Linked DNA regions of Schizosaccharomyces pombe. The protein of the gene in region 1 interacts with the protein of each later gene in a biochemical or structural test. Each region holds a gene or a part of one and is shown in the gene's direction. Other genes may lie near its edges.

The links.
Region 2: the proteins of cwp1 (region 1) and cwg2 form a complex in vitro, tested with the Schizosaccharomyces pombe proteins (one study listed by BioGRID).
Region 3: the proteins of cwp1 (region 1) and cpp1 form a complex in vitro, tested with the Schizosaccharomyces pombe proteins (one study listed by BioGRID).

Annotation. Positions count from the first base shown.
Region 1 is NC_003424.3:1,861,477-1,868,858, reverse strand, and holds cwp1 (geranylgeranyltransferase type 1 alpha subunit Cwp1), read left to right. Parts: upstream 1-3,087; 5' UTR 3,088-3,250; coding exon 3,251-3,927; intron 3,928-3,978; coding exon 3,979-4,186; 3' UTR 4,187-4,308; downstream 4,309-7,382. Other genes in the region: dhx37 (ATP-dependent RNA helicase Dhr1), read left to right, coding at 1-607; SPOM_SPAPB1A10.05 (uncharacterized protein), read right to left, coding at 840-1,724; protein dpc13, read right to left, coding at 4,402-4,444, 4,499-4,887; mRNA export receptor Nxt1, read right to left, coding at 5,097-5,425, 5,478-5,496; CENP-A histone chaperone Scm3, read right to left, coding at 5,915-6,925. UniProt on the Schizosaccharomyces pombe protein: Catalyzes the transfer of a farnesyl or geranyl-geranyl moiety from farnesyl or geranyl-geranyl diphosphate to a cysteine at the fourth position from the C-terminus of several proteins having the C-terminal sequence Cys-aliphatic-aliphatic-X.
Region 2 is NC_003424.3:3,325,134-3,332,807, reverse strand, and holds cwg2 (geranylgeranyltransferase type 1 beta subunit Cwg2), read left to right. Parts: upstream 1-3,642; 5' UTR 3,643-3,800; coding exon 3,801-4,868; downstream 4,869-7,674. Other genes in the region: aspartic protease Sxa1, read right to left, coding at 1-139; U3 snoRNP-associated protein Rrp9, read right to left, coding at 1,872-3,446; DNAJ domain-containing protein Erj5, read right to left, coding at 4,999-5,910; mug109 (Rab GTPase binding protein upregulated in meiosis II), read left to right, coding at 6,670-7,161.
Region 3 is NC_003424.3:3,589,652-3,599,697, reverse strand, and holds cpp1 (protein farnesyltransferase beta subunit Cpp1), read left to right. Parts: upstream 1-3,291; 5' UTR 3,292-3,352; coding exon 3,353-4,501; 3' UTR 4,502-4,735; coding exon of another isoform or gene 4,736-6,643; 3' UTR 6,644-6,704; downstream 6,705-10,046. Other genes in the region: rps2401 (40S ribosomal protein eS24), read right to left, coding at 122-457, 527-595; bro1 (vacuolar protein-sorting protein), read left to right, coding at 899-3,226; SPOM_SPAC17G6.03 (phosphoprotein phosphatase), read right to left, coding at 4,736-6,643; tco1 (RTA1-like protein), read left to right, coding at 9,749-10,046. UniProt on the Schizosaccharomyces pombe protein: Catalyzes the transfer of a farnesyl moiety from farnesyl diphosphate to a cysteine at the fourth position from the C-terminus of several proteins. The beta(cpp1) subunit is responsible for peptide-binding.

The DNA of each region.
Region 1 (7,382 bases):
TGCTTCTGATAAGAGAAAGTTTTGTAAAGAGAATTATCTGCGAGAAAAAGCATTGGAAGAAGTCACCAATCTTCGTAAGCAAATTATTGGTCTACTAAAAAGATATATGGTTAGAGTCGAAAAAGAATTTTTCAAGTTACAGCTTAAGCCTCCAACTAGTGTACAAATTAAAGCACTCAGACAATTTATTGCTTCTGCATATATTGATCAAGTTGCTCTATATGATAAAGAGAAGCGTGGATATGTTACACTTTTCCCGTCTGGTTCCGAGGTTGTTCAATTCGTACCTGATAGAACTTATAATATTGATTCTGAATATGTTGTCTATCTTAGTCTACATGAAAGCAGAAGTGGTCGTGTTTACATGTCTCCTTTAACTGAAATCAGCCCAGAACATTTGGCTAGACTTGCTAAAAATACTACTCTTTTGTCTTACTCGAAACCCCTTTCATATCCACCAATTCGGTACCTGGATAATGCAACAAAACGAGAGTGCTGGGTTATTCCTATTCTAAGTGCCAATATTGGAACAGGATCACCTTCGTGGAATCTACCAGCCGTGCAAATCATACAAAAACGGATTAATGGGCGTTGGGTGAATTGTTAATTTTATCATTTTGTTCAAGATTTAAAAAGAAATTTAGAAGAAACAAAAATTTATTGATGACAGTTTTTCTAGCTAGATTTTTTAGATTGATCACATGTGATTTTGGTTATATTAGGGACATAAATAATAATTTGGGATACGGTTTTTGATATGAGATTTGGAACTTGGGATGCAAAAAAAAAAATAATAATAAAGGACTCAAAATTGTTAACAGGAACATAAGATATATTACTTATGTAGATGTCGAAGGGACAGCACCTCCCATGTCAATATCCATGCTATCATGAGTAGGTAGATTAGACATTTGAGCAGAATGAGTGGAATTAGTAATGGGGGTATCGTTGTTATTCATAGGATCATTAAGTTCATCATAGTCATCATCAAGCTCTTCAATAATGACCGAACTATTCGGTTCATTGACGACTCCATCGTAGGTATTATAATGTACTGGTTCTTCAACCGTCCATGAAGGATGGACTTCTGTAGGGTGATACTTCACTAGTTGTTTACTATCTGTAGGATAGTAATGTGAAGCAAAATGCCAAGTCGTTGGGTAATTAGAATTCAAGGAAGATATATAAGGATGTGCGGATTGAATACCAAAAGGAAGCATCTTCAAGCGATGAGGATGTCTAACGAGGGATTTTGATACGGCACTCTTGTTTCGATCATCATCGATATCTTCTGTTTGCTTGTCGAGTATTTGCCCTGTTGCAAGGTCAATAACTTGACCCGATTTGTCAGGATGATCGGACTCTAAAGATACTCTCTTTCGAGCAATTTCGTTCCACTCATTATTTTGTGTACTAGGAACAAGGCTATTTTGAGACGGCTCAATAACCAACAGGTCTTCTGCCCTTGGTCTTTTTTTGCTAGTACTAGAATTCTGGGGAACCAAATTGTAAGGCAAACTACTGTAAGGAGTTTTGAAGGCAGGAGGCGTGTCTGGAGTTATGTCTGATAAAGCGGCTTGTTTGGAAGTTGGGACAAAAGAATGCAATCGCGGTCGTTTCAAAGGAAAGTTTAAATGACTAACTTCTTTAGTTGGAGTGGTCGTACTGTTTTCATTTTGCAACGGGACAGATATCATAGAGTCTTGTGGTCTTTGACGCTTCATGGGCGAAATGCGAGTAGTAAATTAAAAACAAAATAATGTAAAGACAACAAAAAGTAATAAATAATGTTTGAAATGAGAAAAAAATCTAAATAAATCTGTTATGATGTTTTAGTCTAAAACCTAGAGGTAATACAGACTGCCGTAGTAACTTCCTTTAGTTCTAAATTATTTCGGTAAGTACAAACCCACAAACCCGTTCTCAAAATTGAATTAAAAAACACCGACAAATAAAGATCAGTTAATTTTTGAGTTTTTCAATTCAATAAAATTTCAGTCATCTATGTTGGTGAAGGTTGCACATTATGAGCTAAATCTAAATTTCGTCTAGTGCATGAAGTCAAGCATAATTAACCATCTAGAAAAATCCAGCAAAGTCGAAAACATTTAGAAGTCATTGCTTTCTTAGAAGACACGTTTTAATTACTTTTAATTAAATTTTTATTAGCGCAAATTCTGGTTGGTCATATATTCTGTAAGGGAAAAGTAAGTAGTAATATAAATTTGACATGACTTTTCAAAGCAGCTTCGAACCCTTTTTAAGATGTTAATTTAATTTACTGAATATTAATGGAAGGTTTGGATCAATTAAAAAATATTAAAATGCTTTAAATGCTATTATTGTTGCAACATTTCATTGTAAGTATATGTAAATAATCGGAATGTCAGATTTCAACTTAAGAAATTAAAAATTGAGTAGATCAGGAGATTATAAAGAAATAATTTGCTTCGGCATTGCTATATATTTTTTTGGAGATACTAACAAATGACATTTCATGACTCTGGTGATTAGGTTCTCGTTTTAAACTAAAATAATCATTGAAACGCATATCAATATATTTTTCTATATCGTGTTGTTCACCAGAAGCCTTCAATGCTTTATATAGGTGTTCAAATAATTTGCATGAATCTCTTTAATCCTCATCAGTTTTAATCGCTAGGATGCTGAAGATACAGATTTCTCATAGGCAATTTGTAATCACTAGTCATTCGTTTTGTACGACCAAAGCGCATCTATCCGGACAGGACATGAATTAGGTATTATTATAAACTCACAACATTTCATACTCTACTTAAAATTAGATGGGTTTTGCAATTACTTGATGTACTTGATGTTTTTTTTATTGTGCTCAAACTGAAAATATAACACCGGTTTAATTAATAGGCAATACTGAAATACCACGAATTGGTCGGTGATACTCATATAACCTGTACGTTTGAAGTTTTATGAATATACTCCGTTGCCTACAATAAAATTAATAAAAGACTATGATAAAAGTTTGAAATAAATCACATATTGTAAACATGGTAATCCTAACTCACTATTCATCTACTTACTCTCCTTAGTTAACCCACCATCACACCTGAACAATAGTACGCACTAAACAAAGAGACTCATTGTTTTTCGAGTTGATAATTTAGAAAAACCTGACAATCCTTTTTAATAAAACACTTATAATTAAATTTTCGGCCTTTAAGTATTTGTTTCTTTGAGTTGAGAATTGTACAACGGATGCCAAATTAATGAAATGGATCCCATTGATCCCGAGTTAAATGAAATTTTGGATTTTACAGAATATGGACCATTAACACCCATTCCTCAGGATGATGGCGAAAACCCATTAGCGAAAATTTGCTACACGACAGGATATGAACAAGGAATGGCTTATTTTCGTGCCATTATGGCTAAAAAGGAGTACTCCTTGAGAGCACTTAATTTAACAGGTTTCTTGATTATGAATAATCCAGCTCATTATACAGTATGGGCTTATAGATTTCAAATCCTAAACCACACGCCCAGTTACATAGACAATGAATTAGAATGGCTCGATGAAATTGCCGAAGATTTTCAAAAAAACTACCAGGTTTGGCATCATAGGCAAAAAATACTTTCTTTGACTAAGAATTATGAGCGTGAACTTGAGTTTACGAAAAAGATGTTTGAAATTGACAGTAAAAATTATCATGTCTGGTCCTACCGAGTTTGGATCTTGCAAAATTTTAATGATTATTCTCAAGAGCTGAAGTTAACCAACGAATTATTGGAAAAAGACATTTATAACAATTCGGCTTGGAATCATAGATTTTATGTTTTGTTTGAAACCTCCAAGGTGGTTTCTTGGTCTTTGGAAGAGGAACTGAATTATCTGAAAGACAAAATCCTTTTTGCTCCTGACAATCAGAGTGCTTGGAATTATTTGTGTGGGTAAGTATCTCTCATTTCCATTAATTACATTCTTCATTAACTTTTTTACAGTGTACTTGACAAATCAGGACCTTCAAAACTTGATAATCTCATAGCTAATCTCCGAAAAAATTTGCCTGCTTTACACAAGCCACTCTTAGAGTTTTTAGCTATGTACGAGCCTTCGTCGTCTGAAGAGATTTATCAAAAACTAGCAAATGAGGTTGACGTACCGCATGCCGCTTTATGGACATGGATGTCCCAAAGGAGCAATCCTTAAATCTATGCTTTGAATGCTAATTGGGTTTACTGATATTTTGATAAAGCATCTTGTTTAAAATTCCTACTAATTAAGAAAGTAGTTGTGATGTATAGTGAATCGTTTATGAAATCAATAACATTAGTCATTCCTCCAATTGTAAGTTTCACATAATAGTGAACAAGTAATGGTTATTAGGCCAAACAAAGAATAAAAAAAATGTCAGAGGCATATTTTTACTTTTCTTTCTTAAGGTTTCTTCGAACAAGTTCCAAAAATCTATAGATATGTTAGTGTTCGCACAATCAATGGAATACATTCAAAAAAACATACGCAGGATCATTTTGAATTCCAGATTTTTTAAATATCTCCGTGATAGTTTCAGCTAACTGCTTGAATTCCGGATCACGAGTAATCTTTAGGATAGTAAGAGGTGACGGTTTTGAACCAGCTTCAAGGCCGTATTTCTCAAAAAACTGACGAAGACGGCCAACCTTTTGAGCAAGTTCCGGATCATTAACAACTAATGAACTCATTTTCTCTTCAAGTTTCTGGACTTGCTCATCCATTACTGGATCCTTGAAAATAGTGTCGTCAGGTTGCGTAGTCGCACTTCTCTTCCATGTTAATATACTAGGAAACCTATTCCTATACAGAAGAGCATTGTTGTATGTAAGAGGCCTTCTGATAGTCAGCTGAGACAAATACTTCCAATATTTCATATTTGTAAGGTGGTGGTTAATTTTGTGTTCTAAAGAAGTATGAGGGATTAGGGAATGTGTCGCTCAGATAAGCTTGCTGCGGCAAATTAATACAAACTCTAAACGAAATGAAATCTTTGTTTTGGATACGTATTATTCACTCATAATTCTAAAATTTTGACTGGCAATATAATACTTTGATTCTTCCTGTTGTAGAACTATATTGTCTCTTAAAGGAAGTTAGTAGAGGATCTTAGTACAAGAAGGTAAATACAATAAAAACTGACATACGAAAATACATGAGGTTTTTTTCCATCGAAACGTATTGTTCCTGAAACAACAATTATGATATTCATATCATTACCCATGACCTGTTGACTATCGAAATCCTCAACTTTAGTTTTGGAGTATGGAAGATTAACTATCATAGAGGTAAATTCGGTTACTTGCATGGGTTTTCCATTCCATAAGATCAAACTATTTTCTCTGTAAAATTCTGCGATCCCATTTCTGTTCGTATCAAGAGATGAGTAATACCGTTGGACGAACTCCTGCGCATCTTTAATTGTTAGTTTATAGATAAAGCTTTAGTAATGCGGCATTTAACATACATTTTACACTCGACTCCATAATGATTCACAATGACAGAAATTTGTAGTGGTGTAAGTAGTCATTTAAACAGGTACATGTGTTATAAATTGAAATATTGTACTCATTAAGCGATATTTAAAGATAATCTTTGTTCAACACACTGAATGGATATTTCGGCTAGATATCTTTATGACTACGATTTTTACTTATAACATGAAGAGTGGAGAACAATTATGTGTACTCATTTGCCATACTACAAAAGCATAGATCACGTAAAAACTCAACGAATGATTAATATATTAGTAAAAAAATATATATTCGAATGTAACATGATAACTCGAAAGACAATTTGTTGTAAATGAAAACAAAAAATAAATATATGTTCGAAGAAATAGGTCATTAAAAGCCATGGTATGGCAAGCGAAGAAGATGGGAGAATAAGTGGTTTAAAGCTGAATCAACATTTTTTTGACTCAGAAATGCATTGGAAACAAAATGCTTTTTTACAAGTGCTGGAAGAATGAGGGTTCTGAGTGCTACTTCCTGAGAACGAAGTTTGTTGACTTAAAGGTTGAAAACCAAGATTAAAATGATGGGTAGAAAGATTAGGTCGAGGGGATATCATTGAAATTAATGAAATAAAGTTTCTTCGTTTTGTAGAATTGGAGTTTCGGACTTTTGACTTAGAAAAAGATCTACGTAAAGGAGTTTTAGGAGATGATAATAAAGGGTTCCTTCTTCTCGGTGAAGATAAAGTATCAGAGATGACGTGCAAAATCTCATTTTGTTCTATGCTTTTATGCTTGATTGTATCCAAACCACGCTGATCTGTTAATGTTCCTGATGAGTTTGGCAACAGACAAGATTTTTTTTCCAAAGCTGAAGCATCAACTTTTCTTGTTTTATCATTGATTTTTAGTCTCACGCATGACTGAGAGGGTATAGTTTCATTACAAACATTTTCCACAAAAAGTGAAGCTAAAGGAACTTCATCTGCAAACACACAATCTGACACCATTTCATCACGAAGTGATAGATTTTTAAATTTATAGATCTGGGGAGACTGAAAATCCTCTATATGGACTGGTGAAACAGCTTTTTCCCCTGGGTTGCCAATGCTTGAGTCTAATTTTTTTTCGTATCCATTTGACGCTGAGATTTCAAGGTTGTTAAATGTAGGATCCCATATATCATCTTTTGTTTTTAAAGCTTCTAGATGTCCATTATTAACAATAATTTCACCAGTTGCAAGATCTACTTCATCAGCTATATCAGAAGTGTCGCGTCCATATTTTTTGAAAAGAGATTCCAAAAAGTCGTTGTACTTCTTTTCGGACTCAATTCTTTTACAAAACACATCATCACAAGCCGTAGGATTAGTATTAAATTCGACAGACTGAAAAGACAACAGATGTGGACAAGAATAGTTTGGAGGCAGGTCAACGGCTTTCGGTTGACGATTGCACATGATTGAAAGTTAAAATCATTTGGTATTGAGAAATTTTGTTCAAAAAATCCTTTCCAATAAATTTCTTAAGGCAAAAATTGGAGATTTTCAGTTATTAGTAGGAAAGCGATTTCAGTAGTGGTTTATTAGTGAACGGTGCCATAACTGTAGACTTGTATTAGAGTTTCGTAACTAATTCACGAATGACTTTTAGATTTAATTTCTGTTAGAACTTAGAGATCAAAAAAAAAAGATAATGAAAAGTTCTTTTGAATAGTTTATGCAAAAGTGTAATTTCAATGATGGTCGCTTAACGCTTGTAAATTAACTCATTGCTCCAAAAGACTGATTTATCTGTTCTTGCACTAATTCTATACTGTTTAAGAATTTCTAAAATACATAAAATTAATAGACATACAATTTTGTAATAATAACGAACGCTGCGATACCTTGTGGATTCCAACGAACATAGCAATTC
Region 2 (7,674 bases), 1.5 Mb from region 1:
TCGCCACATGATCATATTGGCTATGTTGCAGATTTAAAACGACCGATCGTTTTCCTGGAACTTCGCTATAAGCAGAAGCTACCGAGGCTTGTAACGCCTGCAAAGCAGAAATTGCAAATACAAAGAAAGAAGCCTTCATATTATTATATTGATTAGAAATGTTATTAATCAGAGCAACAACAAGCTTTGGTTTTCTTCCAAACTAATAGACGGTGTATGCGTTTCCGCCTGCTTTAATGTAGTTTGCTCTGGTCAAAGTATGTGCCCCCCAGAATTTCACATCAACGTAATCCGCGGTTTAAGCCATTCGCGGCTTAGTTGACGCATTCATGAACCGAACTCGTTAAATGACTTTTTCGTATTTTCTTTTAACAGCAAACTTCGTTATAATCCTTTCATATCCAAAGGAAATCCCTTTTGCAACGTTAAAAATTCATTATACATTATAAAGGTATTGTAGCGTAGTAGCTTAATGCACATAACGTATTCCAAAGTGTTTCCATTAAAATAAAAATCAATGTAAGCATTTTACCGGAAATTACTTGAAAACATTGTACAATTTGATTACTTAAACTGTTAATTTGTTCGCTTGCTAGTAATTGATTTGCCTCTCCATTTATGTGAATGTCTGTCGAAACTCCGATGAAGACCCATATATATACAGTGTAGCTAGCTGCAAAGATGAAGAAAATAAGCACATGTTATCTAAGCGCCTGAGATAAAAACGTCAAGTTATATTAGGAGAATTCTACATAGATAGATAACGGCTACTGTGAAAAGTTGTGTTAAGTAATACTGCACAAAAAGACCGCATGTTCGACGGATCAATAGTTTCGTTTGACAAAGTTTCTGTATAAAAACATTGATTTAACGGCTACCGCATCTCGTGATTCATAGTAGTCATGGTGTTTATATCTTTATTAAAATATATTACCACCATATCTGCAAAGTGTCACGGTAACGGGATTTGGAAAACCAAAGATAACCGTAGTTGCGGGAGCAAATAAGTACCATTTAGTGATATTAGTATATTAAAAAACCGTTTTTTGGTTTGTCAAGAAAGTACAGTCGAAGTTATAAAGTGGAAACAACCTAGGAATCTTAAATATTTACGATTCTAGGTTCTGTCATTTGTTAAAGAAAATTCATTCCAAATTAAAAAATAGAGTATTATGCCAATATGCGCTTTTTGCTAAGTCCATCAACTTTTCATGCAAAGATACATGTATTTCATTTTTGACGAGTCTAGGAGAATTCCAAAGAACGACTTTTTTAAAAGGTCTATACTCCATTAAAGAATCTATAAGATACTAAAAACTAAAAAAAGGGCTTTTGATTACCATTATTAAGACAAGTAATATTGAGGACAATTTGGGGCAAGAGGTAAACAAAGTGATAGCAAGAACTAGTAAAACTTAATAGGATTTTAACAATACTCATAAACAAAACTTCGGTTTAACGATTTTGATATTTTCATTTTGCTTCAATAATTTCATTATGCACCATTTCAATGCACGGCATTTGATGAAGAAGAAAGTTCATTCGTTTATTACAAACTATTTCATCCTTCTTTTTCTTTTTTCAATTTATAAAACATTTAAAGAACCCAAATAGAAAAGCCCGAATTGAAAGACATGGTTCATCATTGTTCGTTTTAATAATCAATTTCATTTTTGTATATTTTTTCCTAATAAATCCGTATTTTATCTAAACTTTTAAATTAAATCCAACCCAAAATTCCGTTCCATGAATTAAAATTTTTTGTACACCAGGAAAAGATAAACACAGTAATAAGAGATCCATCACATCTGCTTCATAACCGCTTATATGAAAAATAATGAAAAGCTAAGTTCTTTTATTTTGCAACTTTACTACTCATCAATCTCGTCACCATCTGTAACAGAAGGAATAACCGTTAAAGGGATATTAAACACGAAGCCTGAATTAGGGATGCCCCGCAAGGTTTTCCAACGACCAACGCGAGTTTCTCTTCCGCAAGCAGCGAATACTCTTACCTCTGATTGTTTACCTTTTCCTTGCAAAGAAAGTGAAAGGGAATTGATGCAGCCATAAACTGACAACGGAGTAGCGATTGTTAAAGGTTCAAAAGAACGAAGGCCTTCCGCTATCTTCCATAAACGGATGTTTCCGTCCCAAGAACCAGAAGCAAATAGATTGGAGTATGGGATAGCAGCCAAACTAGTGATCCATCGAGGTTGAGGAGGTATAGTGACAGGATCTGGAGACGTCTCAGCGGAATGACGCCCAGGAGCTAGAATGGGATCTAGTCCATGAGCAAGTGGGTATGTAAAAAGAGGCTTCTTACGTTGAACAGACCAAAGTGCAATAACTCCATTATCGCTTCCAGTAACGAAATGGTCTTCATCAATCATTGCCACACAATCCACACTACCTTCCATATAGCCTGCAGTTGCTTTCATAGAAGTACCTCCACTACGAAATACCAGTTGAGACTCCTCAACAATTTTCCACAGACGCGATGTCCGATCTCTACCACCTACACTGACACATCTTTCCCGAGCTAATGCATCCACTCCAAAAATAACATCCTGATGTCCAAATAGCGTTTCAATATAAGACATTTGATCCAAAGACCATACCTTGATGGATCGATCAGCGGAACAACTAAACATTTCATTGGTTCCTCTTCGCATGGCTAATCCCATTACTGCGTCCCGATGATGTTTCCAACAATGTTGAGGCTCAAGTGTCACACTATCACGAATGACAATTCGATGGTCCAAACCTCCAGTAACGATCCAACGACCATCGTTGCTAATTGCTAGGCAAGTGATTTCTTTTACATGATCGTTCTCTCCTCTTCGGCTGCGAGAGAATTTGATCGGTCTGAAGTGCAATTTTATAGCTTTCCCAATTTCATGATCGTCATTTTCCCTATTTTCAGTATCTTTTTCTTGCAAAGCTTCCCATTTTTGGATCAAACCCGATTTATCAGCACTATAAACAAAATTTTCGTATGCTACCACTCCAACTAGCGGACGCATGTGACGGCCTCGCAGCTGAGCTGTTTCGATTTTTACATCAGGATTAATTTTAGAAGTATAGTCTAAATACATTTGTCCCTTCTTTTCTAATACGTCCTCCTTCAATCGACTTGCAAGCAATTCACGATCCACTTCTTTCGCATCGAAACCTCCATCTTCGACCAGTTCGTTCTTGACCTCGTCTAGATACTCCCTTGCTAATCGAAGCCTTTTTTCTGCTGCAGTCTCATAAGTATCTTCATTTTCCTCATCAATTTCGTCCTCAAAGCCATTGAATTCGGATTCTGATGATATAGATGCTAAATCTTCATTAGCGGGTCCATTCCTCTCCAATTTTTGATTCTCTTTTTCTCTTTTTGAAGTAGCACTCCTAGCTTTCCTCTTTCTATGCTCTGGACGTGTAAAGAAAGGATCAGACATGCTTTCTCTAAGGGTACCAACGGTTCGTAAATTTCTGTATCTTCAAACACCTATATGGTATACTGCCGGTGACTTAATTTTATTCTCCGAGCATACTCCACAAAAAGTCCGGTGATCCATACAAGAAATTTCCGAAGTTTACCGAGCTAATTCACCGAATTTCTTTTCATGAACAAATCATTACAGAAATATATCTGCTCATTACTATAAATCAAAATACCTTGTCGCGTTTTTTTGTTTTTAAGCTTAAAATAATTATCGTTCTTGTACCAATTTTGTTCGATAGATTTTTAAGACTTACTATTCTATTGACATCTATAGAATTCTGCTATCGGCGCATCTATTTATGGTCCAATGGAATTAACAAGAGCTAAACATATTGCTTTCTTTAAGAGACATCTTATACTATTTCCTACTCCATACGAAGAACACGATTGCGAAAGAACAGTGTTAGCATTCTTTTGTTTATTAGGATTAGACTTGCTAAATGCATTGAACACCATAGATGATGACGATAAAAAAAGTTGGATCGAGTGGATCTACAAAAACTATGTAACGAAAGAATCTAAAGGAATCAAATACTCCGGTTTTCAGGCGTATAGAACTGGCATTCAACCCATCTCATTCGAACAGGAGCCGCAATTAGCTGGGACTGTGTTTTCAATTTGTTGCCTTTTATTTCTTGGCGATAATCTTTCTCGTATCGACCGCGATTTAATTAAGAATTTTGTGGAGTTGTGCAAAACTTCGCAGGGTCATTTTAGAAGTATTGCTGTGCCATCATGTTCGGACCAAGACATGCGACAGTTATATATGGCTACGACTATTGCTTCGCTTCTTGATTTCTCTCTGTCTGACCCTTTATGTTCTATCCAATATATTAAAAGCTGTCAACGCTATGAAGGCGGATTTTCTTTGTTACCATACGGCGAAGCCCATGCTGGAGCTACATTTTGCGCGTTAGCATCATGGTCTTTAATATTGAAAATGATTCCAAATTCCTCTTTGAATACTTCTAATCAATCATATAACTTAATGGATTGTGTGCCTAAAGTAGAACGCCTTATCAGATGGTTAGCTTCTAGACAATTATCATCTGGAGGATTAAACGGAAGGACGAATAAAGACGTTGACACCTGTTATGCTTATTGGGTTTTGAGTTCATTAAAACTCCTTGATGCTCTGCCTTTTATCGATGGGGGTGAGTTGGAAAAATATTTATTATTGCATGCTCAACATGCTTTGGGCGGATTTTCTAAAACACCAGGTGAGTTTCCTGATGTTTTACATTCTGCACTTGGTCTATATGCAATGGCTTATCAAGATGATAAGTCTTTTCCTAAAGTAAATGCAGATATACATATGACTTCCAAGTATATAAACATTTGTAGAGACTGTATTCAAGCAGCCAAGGGGAAATGATAACTATATTATGATGATGAATTGTCGAAGAAAACTAAACAATAGACTATTAACTTAGAAACAACGTGATCAATCACTTGACTATAAAAACCTAAAGACACTCTAACAATATAAATTTGACTCAGTAACTTTAATTTTCTCTATTCGTGTTTTTAGAAAGTGGAATTCGATTTGCTCGTCTTTTCATTCGTCGCTTTCCGGCTTTTATGGAAGCCTCTTTCTTCGAAGGACTGGAGAAGCTAGATTTATGGACACTATCACTTTTCTCTTCATCTTCCATCTGTCCATCACTATCCGTATCTTCGGACGATGCAGGTGCTCTTGCAAACCAGCGTCCAAAGGCGTTCCAAACTATAAATCGGGGAAGACGGTAGAAAAAGGTGTCAGATATTTTAACGCTTGCAACGGAATCTGGTGAAACTAGATATTCTATATTGGAACTGGGATCCAAAATACACACTTGACCAGTTATGGAATCGACTGTATATATACGCCTTCCACCGGGTACTTGTACAATACGCTTTGAACCTCTGGCGGAAGTTGCATAAGACTCGTGTTGTCTAGCAATGTCTATATGATCCTGCATGATTTTCTTTTGCCGCTTTGAACTGATTACGAGCATAACGAAGTGTGCGATGGAAATGAGAAGAAACAACAAGACGAGCACAGCACCTAAACCAGGGCGATATCTTGAATAAAGATAACCCGTTCCCTTCCATCTTGGAAATCCATTTTTAAGGAAATAGTCATAACGTTTACGCGTTTCAGTGTTGCGAAGAATGTTTACGATCAGCCCTAAAAGCGTATACAATTCTTTACTTTTTGGATTCTTATCTGGATGATAAAGGATGCTCTTCTTTCTGTACGCTCTATTGATTTCTTTAATAGAGGCTTTTGTAGGCACTTCGAGTAGCTCATAAAACGTGGCCTTATTCTTCAAAATTGACTTTAAAGAATCAACAACTCGAAAAATTTCAAGGTCGGAAGAGGTCCACGCTAAGCAGACTCCAAATAAAAGCAGTAAAATAAAAATTCTGCTCATTTCCGCTCTATTTTGCAACCCGAAGGTTAGGTTCTTGGGTGATACGCGTTCGCTAACCTATTTAAACAAACGCTGAATAACGAAGTATCAGTATTTTTATCTTTCGAAGGCTGGTATTAAAACAAGGTTGGGTAAGAAAAAAATTACGATTTTAAGGGTATTTATAATTTTATTATTTTTTTTCTTTTTTTTATTTCCGTCTATGAAATTACGCTCTCTTGTGTGAGGAAAGGTACAACCAAAGTTGCTCAAGAAATTTTATGGAACGATTTTTTGAAAGAACTTAACATTGACGGGAAATGGCACTAGCGTAGCTATGTTTTAACAGAAAAATTATTATGCTAACACGTTTCTCGTGTTTTATTTCTAGATACAGACTATGAAAGCGTTGGTGGTGATGGGCAAATAGGAACCAGATCCGGCGACGCCAGTACAGCTTGTAATTCTCTCTTAATTATTTTTTTGTTCATATTTCTCTGAAATTTCTAATTTTTGTTTTGCATTTCGAATACCTGCAATTAGGCACCGGTGGACTAGTTATCCTTGAAGAGTAAATGGTTTCAAATTATTTTGAACAAATTTTGTTTGCGACCATACTATTATATTTACCTTATGTTTTTTCATATGATTTTGATTAATGTGAATTGAATCTACGAAAAGTTGTTTACGGTAGCGATTAGAGAATGTAAACAAACCATCGATGGGCGCCATTACTGGAGGAGCCAAAACGTTTCCCATTTCCACACATCAATCTTCCTGATGATGAAGTTAGAAAATAAATTACACCGAGTGCTATGTTCATTGCACCAGAATTCCATATCCACTCATAAAACATATGTTGCGGTAGCAGCGCAAGATGAATATGTACGAATGGGAAAGGTCTCTTTACCTCGTATGTATGCTGTTAAACCCAGAATACAAAAGAATTTTCAAGACAATTATAGATTCTATGGAACTTTGCTTTGTATTTGCTGGCTTTATTTCTTCATCTGGTACCCATTTGCTTTGTTAGCTCTAATGGTTGGTGTTTTTCTAAGTTTTGTTATGCATGGCTTGGGAAGCTTGACCATTAATCAAAATATAAGATTAGATCCCAAGTATTCCATCCCTGGTGTTTGTGCTGTCACTCTGATCGTTATTATGTTTCTCGCTCCAGTAGGACGGTTGTTTTGGTCATTCTGTATCGTGTCAAGCTTTGCTGGGTTACATTGTTTATTGACTACTTATGAGAATCCAGCGGGTATATTGTGATTTTCCACCAAGTGCCTACTTTTTATGAATACAAAATTCACTGTAAGCCGTTAGACTTAATGCTGTGCAAATCCACAGGATGCTTTTCTTCACTCATTCCTTTATAAGTTTTTCTACGATCATCTACTTAAACTTTGAGCATTTTCTTTACGGGAAACAAGAAGTTGATAAAACGTATCGAGGTTTCAGCTTTTAATCAGCACTGATACCCTACTTAACATTGTAGGTGTAAGCTGGAAGAAACGATAAAAATGTTATATTTTTTCCCAAGGACTATATATACGTATTTGTAAATAGTTCTTTTTCAGAAGGAGTGTTTTGAGCATGCAATCAACATAGTTAAATCAATTTACACATAAACACGTAGGTGAGCAGCCTTATTCTTCTACCAATGCTTCAAGTTTAAGTCACTAAATGGATTATAGAATAAGTACATCTTTAAAAAATGCTTAAGTTTTAATGATTATTTCGAGCTTCGAACCTGTAGATTTTAGAATGCGATGGTCATAATTG
Region 3 (10,046 bases), 1.7 Mb from region 1:
ATATTATTTTAGGCAACACGTAATTAAATCCGTTCGAATACAACAATGCATTTCCATCAAGTGAATACATCTCATTACTTTATGAAAATTATTTTTCTGAACCAAGAAAAAATAAGATTGCCTAGTCTTGTTGCTTAGACTTGCGCTTGGCAAGACGCTTGCCAGTACCAAAGACCTTCTTGCCTCTGTTCTTACGTTGCTTGCGTTGTTGACGAGCAACCTTTTGGATAGGCTCGGCATGTCCAACACGGACAAGACGATAATGGGGCTCAAACTTCTTCATGGCCTCGACGTCGTCGTAAATCAATGCAAAACCAGTGGTTCTTCCACCACCATAATGGGTACGAAGACCAAATGCCTGGACAGCACTTGCATCAGTCTTGTACATTTGACCCAATTTTTCACGAAGATCGTTTTTGGAAATGTTGGCCTTGCCAGGATGCAAAATGTCGACCACCTAAAACGCCCTCATGTTAGTATATGCCACGTCTGATCGTAAAGAACTTATAAGCAAAAAAATACATACCATTTGCTTCCTCTGAAGCAAGCGGTTGGTCATAAACTTGCGAGTTCTGATTGTAACCGCCTCACTCATATTGGTCTTAATACAACTATCTAGCGCCCACGAATTCCAAAATTTTACCCCAAAGAAGGCAGTCACAAGATGTGGTACAAAGAAAGAATAGTGAATACTTGAGTAACTACACAAACAACGGTATATTGCTTTAAGGAGATCAAAGGGACTTGTAAATATAATAGAAAATTATGTAGGTATTCCTTCACTTGTCTTAACGAGGATTAGTGCATCGTTGGCTTGACTGAATTTAGTCAATTAAGTCAGCTTGTCGAGTGCATAGAACTATAGGGGCATTGGCTCTTTTATAAGGAATTTTAAAGGATGGAGAAACTTGCTACTCCTTTTTTTTACTTAAATAAAAAGGAAACAAAGCATTCAGATTGGGTTGAGCCATTTACTACGTTCGTATCTCGAATATATGGAAATAGTGTTGATGTCGAAGATCAAATTAAGGCGTTCAACACTTTGAGAGAAAACGCAGCAGACGTCGATGACACAGTTGCTGGTAAGGATATTTTGTATTCTTATTACGGACAACTTGACTATTTGTCTTTCCGATTTCCCACTGGTGGTAATGGAATCAACATTTCTTTTGAGTGGAGCGATATCTTAGATCCCGATGCAGATTTCGTCAAGCAATCTTCTCTTGCCTTTGAAAAAGCATCGGTTTTATTCAATTTGGTTTCATTGCTTTCCCGAATGGCTGCTAATCATGCATCTGCTTACACTGTGGATGATTATAAGGCGGCCGCCAATTGTTTACAATGCGCTAGCGGTATTGCCAAACTCTTACGCGAATCTTTCATTCATGCACCTGGAAGAGATTTAGATTCCAATTTTTTACTAGGTATTTACAATCTTTTCTTGGGTCAAGCACAGGAGTGTGTCTTGGGACATATGTCTTTTTCAGCTAGTGACTCTAACATGAACTATTCGTTGGCTGCAAAGATTGCTAGTTCGGCAGCTACTTTATATGATAGCTGTGTACACGCATTTGAATCTATGGAACCGGCGTGCAATCCCAATTTCATACGGCTTGCTTCTGCCAAAAAGGCCGCCCTTGAGGGATTTTCCTCTTATTTTATGGCACGCGCTCAGTTGGAAAAATCGAAACAAGGGCTTGCTATTGGATATTTACAACAAGCTAAGTCAATTCTTTCGTCTGCTCAAAAGTTATTCAATGGTATAAAGTTGAGTACTGATTTTATTCATAAGCCTAGTCTTTCTGACTATCCTCAGACCATTTCTACCTTCATCAAATCCTCCTTGTCTCATTTGTTAAAAACTGCTGAGAAAGATAATGACTTTGTGTTTCATGATCTTGTAGTCAAGGAAGTTGAGCTCCCAAAAATATCTCCTTTGCAAGCTCTACCACCACTTCCTTTAGAGAAATTGTATGGAAGTCAAGATGGATTTGAAACTGCAAAAAAAATTGTTGGAGATGATTTGTTCAAGGCCTTTGTGCCTAGCGCCGTTACGACCGCCAGTTCGCTGTATTCAGAGGAGACTGCCAAAGTGTTTCGCGCTGAACAAGCTGAAGTAGAACGACAAAACACCCAAATGGCAACGGTTTTCGCCTCCTTAGACCTTAGCCGGCTTCAAGAAATCACACATTCGGATTCCAAAACGAACTTTATTCCGAAAGAACTTATAGAAGCTCGTTCCCAACTTATTTCTTTTAATCCTACTTTTAAAATTCACGAGTTGTTTGCAAAATCCACAAAGTTGAAGCAAATTATAGCGAAAATTAAGAGTGACTTAGAAGTGGAAGCCAATGAAAATGCCAAGATGAAGGCGAAACTTGGACCCTCGTGGACGTTATCAGATAGCTTAGAGTTTGCCGCTCCTTATCAAAGTGAACTCAACAATTACTTGAAGACCTTGGCAGAGGCTTCCGCTACTGATTCCGCTATATCCCAACAATATGCTTTAGTAAAAGATGATGTAGAAACGTTGTGTAACTCTTCCAAAATTAGCGCATTACTAGAATCGTCCATTTCCTCAACTGATAATTCTGGTCAAAGCTTACTTGATATTCCTATTGAGCAGGAGGAGCAAGAGCGCGATATGAAAATACAGCTTGACTTGTTAGAAGAATTGCAATCCAGAGTTCAAAAGTTAGTTCCTGAAAGGCAGACCACTTTACAGGCTTTACAGCAAAAGTGTTTGCAAGATGATATTTCTGAGTCTCTCATGCAAAATAGTAAGCGGAAGGACTCTGCACTCGATACCAATCAGCTTTTTGAACTAGAATTAAAGAAGTTTGACCCCTTGCGAAATAGATTACATGCATCTTATCGGCAACAGCAACTACTATTGAATGAGATGAGAAATGTTACACAAAAGTTGAAACAAAATCCGGAATTTTTGAGAAAGATGGAAGTATACAATAACCAATTTTCTAAAAATAAAGAGTTATGTTCTAATTTGCTTTCTTCTTCTCTTACGGCTAAAGCTATATCGGAAGGTGTATCTAAGGGCCTTGAATATTATAAAACTGTTGAACAGAGACTTGCCGAAATTAATAAGACCCTAGGAGAGCAATTACTTTTAAGAAGGAAACAGGGTGCCACATGTCTTTCAAAACTTTCATCTTCGAGCTCCTCTCATACAAGTATTTCCTCTAATATGCGAAACCTTCACATCTAGCGCCAAGTAACAATTTGGCTGTTACTTTAGGTTCTTTGTCTTCTAGTGTTTAAGTAAACCAGTCCAACAACTTTATAATTAATAAAGCTTTTTGGTGAGCGGACTCTTTCGTTAAAGTTAGTAAAGATGGATGAATTATCAGAAACGCAAGTTATGCAAAACGAAACGGCTACAGCTGTTCTTCCATTGCTGAACGGCGAGAGTCAATCGTTCAATTTGCAAAAGCATCTTAAGTATTTAACCAAAATGCTAGATCCTCTTCCTTCTCCCTTTACAGTATTGGATGCATCAAGGGCTTGGATGGTTTATTGGGAACTAAGTTCATTGGCAATTTTAGGCAAACTTGACAGCTCTGTTTGTGAACGGGCTATTAGCAGTGTGCGACAGTTGAAAGGGCCTAGTGGTGGTTTTTGTGGTGGGAATGGACAAGATGAACATTTATTGAGTACTTATGCTTCTATACTCAGTATATGTCTTTGTGACTCCACCGACGCATATTCCTTGATAGAGCGCGATCGTTTGTACGATTGGTTATTCTCTTTAAAAAATCCGGATGGTTCGTTTCGAGTTAATAATGAGGGAGAGTCGGATGCTCGATCCGTTTATGCAGCTGTATGTGTTTCTTCTTTAGTGGGAATCAGTATGGACGATCCTCTGTTTGAGGGTACCTTGCAATGGCTTTGCAAGTGCCAAACTTATGAGGGAGGTCTTTCAGGTGTCCCTTACGCCGAGGCTCATGGCGGATATACATTTTGTGCCCTTGCCGCAATTGCTTTGCTGGGAGGTCTTGACAATTTAAATGAAATAAAACTTAGCACTTGGCTTGTACAACGTCAAGATCCTGCTCTTTACGGATTTTCCGGTCGCTCTAACAAGCTAGTGGATGGTTGTTATAGTTGGTGGGTCGGTGCTAGCCATGTGATTGTGGCTTCAGGCTATGGTTCGGCTTCTCATAAAAGCCTGCCTAACCTTTTTTATAATCCAGAAAAATTATTAGGATATATTCTTCAATGTTGCCAGAGTACAAGCGGCGGTTTACGTGACAAACCACCAAAACGGCCTGATCAATATCATACTTGTTATTGTCTATTAGGGTTATCATCAATTGCTTATGACTACAGATATCACACTTCTGATGGTTGGTCCTATAAACCTTCCATCTTACACTCCTCTTTAAGCTCTTTATTACCGGCTCATCCAATTTACTGTGTTCCTTTTGGTTTTGAAGAAAGAATTAAATCATATTTTCTGTCACAAGAATCATCAAAATTCTAATGGTTTATTTATGAGTTGTCTATGGACTTTAATTTTTCATGAGAGGATTTTTTTTATTATTTTAACGGTTTATGTCCCGAGTTTAATATCATGCCTATTTTACTTCTCTATCAGGTATTTACTTCGTCATTTTTACACATGTTGAATAAATAATAATTCTTGACTTATTTGTTATCTTTAAAATCATTAATGTCATTAGAATAATCCTTACTAAAGGAAATAAACCATAGCCTTTTACTTATATAGGCAATCGTGGTCCCAATAGAGATCTGCATATAATGGTAACAAATCAGTCATAGAATGCTTTCCGTCAGGTCTCGTAAAGTAAAGCTCCCAATCGTCAGGTGAATATAAAGGCTTATCTGCAATTTTATTTAAAATGTCGTCTAAGCGTGGAATAACAAATGATGGAGCAACAACGTCAACAACTTGCTTATCGTCTCCAGAAAAAGAATCATCAAATCCAACTTGCGAGCAAATAAACCGCAGCGGTTCATAATGAGGAGTTGTAAGATGAGCAGTGTCATCTCCGTCATCTCCTAAATCATCGTGTGTAGTGTATCCATATGTCTTGCGAATGGAGTGTTCATAAAAGTCCTCAAATTTTGCATCAGAAACTTGTGGAGTGTTAATTTGAAGAGTATCTTCAGCAATCAGATATCCACTGTGTTGTAGAGCTTGTGGCAGGTACTTAGTAATCGACCATGGGACATCTTTCAAAACATAGAATATATTACTTTTAAAAGGACAGACTTGAAAGACCTCGTCTAAGCCAAAGGCACCTGAATTTAGACCACCTCGAATGCCACCCGAATTTACAATAATATAGTGAGGAATGTGATGTCGAGACTCATTGACGACTATTTTTGGAAAAAGTTCGGATTGAAATAGATGATAAATTGAGTTTGAATCGTTAAATGGAACTTCTGAAAATGCAAACTTTTTTGGGGAACAACCTATAGGAGTAAGTAAGCCAAGTGCCTTCCGAGCTTCGTAAATGCCATTAGAAATAAATTCTCCAAGTGAGGTATTGAAAGAAGACTTTTTTGTTTTCGAATGAAACATAAAGCCCTCGGGATTCCAATCAATATAGGAACGAGAGAAGCTGACACTGGCAGATTTAGCACTTTGCAAAGAGGAAAATATCTGCTGAGATGACCGTCTAATACTTTCGCCTATAAATCTCAAGCGCTCAGCTAGATAAGATTCCACCCCCATTAAAGAAGAAATCCCAGATAACTTGACCAACGATTTGAAGGATGGAATGCCGTTAATTGAGACCCAACCAACTGTTTCGCAATATCTTCCTGACTCAATTCCCACTGCTTTTTCATCGTAAATGGCATAATCTCTAATATGGGAATGACCACCAAGTACTTGTATTGGAGTGGTAGGGAAGTGAATCCGAAGCTCTGAAAGAACGATATCAAGCTCTGAGGCATTGTGAACGGGTACATGAGCGGGAATCAGAATCAGATCGATGTCTTTATTTGATACCATATCGTTCCACCATGGCTGTAGCGAGAATTGCGAAACTGGGAGGACACGAACCGTATCAGTAGCACCAGAAAATGAGTTTACAAATCCAAACGCAAGGATTTTAACATTGTGGGGTGTAGAAAAGATGGCATATCGATCTCCAAAGGGTACAAAAGAAGAAACATGTTCATCATATATGTCAATGTTTGCAGCTAAATATCGGCCTTCCCACAGAGGAATGAAATTATGATAAGTATCATTTGCAACAGTTGAGAGATAAAGCTCATGATTTCCAGCAACAAGAATATCATAATCCATATTTGCAAGTAATGAATCTGTCCAACTACCAGGGGGATCTGTCAGATCTGACAGGCCCGTACCATCATGAAGATCGCCGGTATCTACTAGCAGTAAATCAACGTCTTTTTGTTTTGCCAAGTGCTTCATATGTTGAACAAAAGAAGCGAAATCTCCTAAATCTCCTGAATAACGTTTATCTCGCGCATGTCCTGCTAACCAGCCATGGATGTCAGTAGTGTGTAAAATATTGACTTGACCCCATGTCAATTCCCGACGAATTGCCAAGGGCAAAGTTGCTGAATAGCAAGGATTGATAACAAATAAAAGAGAGAAAATTAATGAAAATGTATGGGCAGGTTTCATAATAAATATTGGTTCCCAGTATATAGGGTAAGTGCAGAATCGCCAAGATAAGAAGATCAAGTACCAAGTCACAAGCAGCAAATAGTAGCCAGCCAAACCTTCGTAATATGACAATCATTGCTTCCATCAAAAGTCATGGGAGTTTTAAAAAAGAATTCGTAGTCGCCTATTTTTTTTAATCAAAAATTTCTAAATGAAAATTGCGACGTCTGCAAAACGAGCACGCAAATGCAAGATTTTGAGATCGTCAAATGATTAAAAAGCTTTAGTGAAACACTACACTTATGTTATGCCTTTAACTTCCGGTTGGGCATAAGTATTTAGTAAAAGAAAAGAAGAATTGTAAATTGACAATGTGTGGGGAATTGGTTTGACGAACGATAATAGATAATATTATGCAATATTGTAAGTAATATTTATAACCTTATCACAGAGAAAAACGCTTTTAACCAGAAGTATTCCTTCCGAAAAACGTATATTGTCTTTATTCACCAGAGAAGAGTGCAAAAACAAAATATTGTCATTGTTGCTCAAGAAAATGATTAAGCAAGAAAAATTGGTTTTATAGTAATGCAAAAAAATTTGAAAAGGAAAAAATCATTTTTTCCATTCATGAAAATAAATAAAACCATTGAATCTGGCATTAGCATTGTCTCTTAAAAGAATTGGGATCCCGCAACGATGTATTCGTAATACCATAAATATGTATGAATTGCAATACGAGGAAAAGCCAGATTTTTTGTAGAATTTAAAACATAAAAAAAAGAGTAAAAACCAGGGTAAATATTGCAAAGGAGTATGTATCAATTTGCGTTTCCGTTAAAAGAAGGAGCATTCTATTTCTTTCATGAAGACTGCGTTTGCCAGTATCAATAACACTCTAAGCTTACTTTGTTTAAAGAACTTTTTAAAGATAAACAGCAGCCATTAACAGGGTTTTTTTTCCTCCATCAAGCTTGAAGAAATAAACTCATATACCGATTTAAAATAATAATATAAAAAATAAATATTGAATGGGACGGGACTCGAACCCGCGAGCTTTCGCACTGGCGTGCAATGCGTTGAACGCACCTAAAGCCAGCTCCATAACCACTCGGACACCCATCCTTTCTGTAACATACTAACGATTATGTACATAATATAGCAAGGATTAATAGAGCTCAAAATAAAAATAAAAGGTAATAAAAGAATGGATATGTTGTAATGATTAAATACAACTTCGGTTATTCTTTCATTCAGTATGGTTAACTGATTTAAAATGTCCAAACGATATGTTTCGTACAATACATGACGAAAATTTAAGAAGGAGAAGAAACTCATATTCCACTTCAAACGAAATATCAGGTCATTAATAAAGAGGGTTATACAAAAGAGGAAAATTTAATTTCACATTTTTTCTTTCTTCTATTTGAAACCTGCTTTTCCGCCAATTCATCTAGTCATGGTTTGTATCGGTCAACTTATAGTGACATTTGGTATGGAACAAATGAATGATTTGTGTAAATTTTATGGCGATTAAAGAAACTTCCGCTAAACATTCTATTTCCATTCATTCTACTTAATTAATTAATTTATCCCATCAAACGATATTTTGAAGCCACAAAACTAGGGGCATTCTTTATTGCACCACCTGTGCAAAAAGTCGTCTTATTCACTCATCATTCATATTAAAAGGAAAACGTTTCCTATCATTCCCCAAGTTAGAAAATTAGCATAGTTCATAGAAATGTAATCAAAAATTCAAAAAAAAGCCTTAATGCTGTGAGCCTTCTACGCATTCATACTAGTGATGGAACAGTAACGTTTAGTTTCATGCTTTTTTCGTCGTCAACTTCATATCAGTGCTCAGGTCAACGCTAATAGTTCAATGCTTTAAGTCATGTCAATTTAAGAGGCTTTAAAAAAAAATATCAGAAATTTTTCTTCCACGGTGTCCGAAAAAATCTAAAGGAAAATTTTTATCGAGTAATATGAGAGTAAAGTCTTACGCAGTTTCCAATGCCTATCATTATTGTACTGCGAGTCGGACAATTCAAAATCTCGTTCCTATGCATCATTCTGATTACAAATGCAAAACCGACATTGTCAAAAGCAAAGTGTGACACTTTCGCAAAATCAGTTTTCGTTGCATTGCTAACTGAAGAGCCAAGCTATATCAAAAAAGAACTTCCTAAAATAACTTTTCTTTTTATGAATTTATTATTTTTCATTCCAAGCGTCAATTGGGAACGCGAACGACGATTAAATCGTTTGAAACTCACCGGCAAATTACGTTTATGCTTGCAGCACTAGCTTTTTATTGAAATGACTCTTCCAAACGAAAATACCTCTGCCATTGAAATGGAACTACTGAAAATAGAGTATCTTCGTGAATTGAAATTTAAGCAGGAAAAGCTTGGTATTGGTGAGACAGCAATTAGTCCTCGGAACTGCAAACCCCGAGGAAGGTAAAACTCAACAATATCAAGAAAAAAAAGATTCCATAAGCCACACACTGGTACATAAACTGAAGAATTACTTGTTTGAAATTACTTAGACAGGGTCAACGGTGTTATTAAGAATTCCAAGTACATTTGCGTAATTGGCAGAGAGTTCTTTCTTGTTTCCACAATTTCCAGCACATTCATTGTTGTAATTGTTTTCGTCGTCTTGTTCGAGAATTTAGCAGGCTACAATATTTTTGCGTCCGTAGCTAGCCGTTGTTTAAGGTTACTCCCAGTGTCTTTTTCATTTTCTCCCACTGTGCCGCCATTCACTATTTATTGCGAATCCGCCTTGTTTACGTTTTACTTCATCTTTTTATTCGTTATTGTCGCGTGTCTTTATTTTGTGCTTTTATTTCCCGCCATCATATGTCGCTGAAGACTACCGGACACTTTAACATTGCGTATTAATTGATGAAAGTTTTATTTATTAGTGAATGATCTTGTCGCATAACAGCATTCTCCGTGTTTTCCGTTTTTCCGTTTATTTCAGTTGAACTGAGTTGACTTGTTGTACAAATTAATCGATCCCTTGTTTCTTTGAGTGAAGTTCTTTTTAAATTCTTACTTCTCTTTTCACTTATACACTTCTTTTTTTTTCGCTTTTCTCATATTAGTTACCATGTATTACGATAACGCTTTCGGCTATATCCCTGCCCACTGGGTCACCATCCTTGCTGTCATTCTCTTTAGTATCGCTTTCATTCTTCACGTTGCTTGTCTTGCTTTCACGAGAAAATGGCTCGTTATCGTCCCTATTATCGGTACCATTGGTGAATTGGCTGGATGGGCTTGTAGGTTAGACGCTTCGTACAATCCAGATGACTACAACGCCTTCTTGGGTCAAATCATCGCTTTAATTATCGCACCAGTCTTTTATTCTGCACAGGCTTACGTTTTGTTTCATCACATCGTTCTTT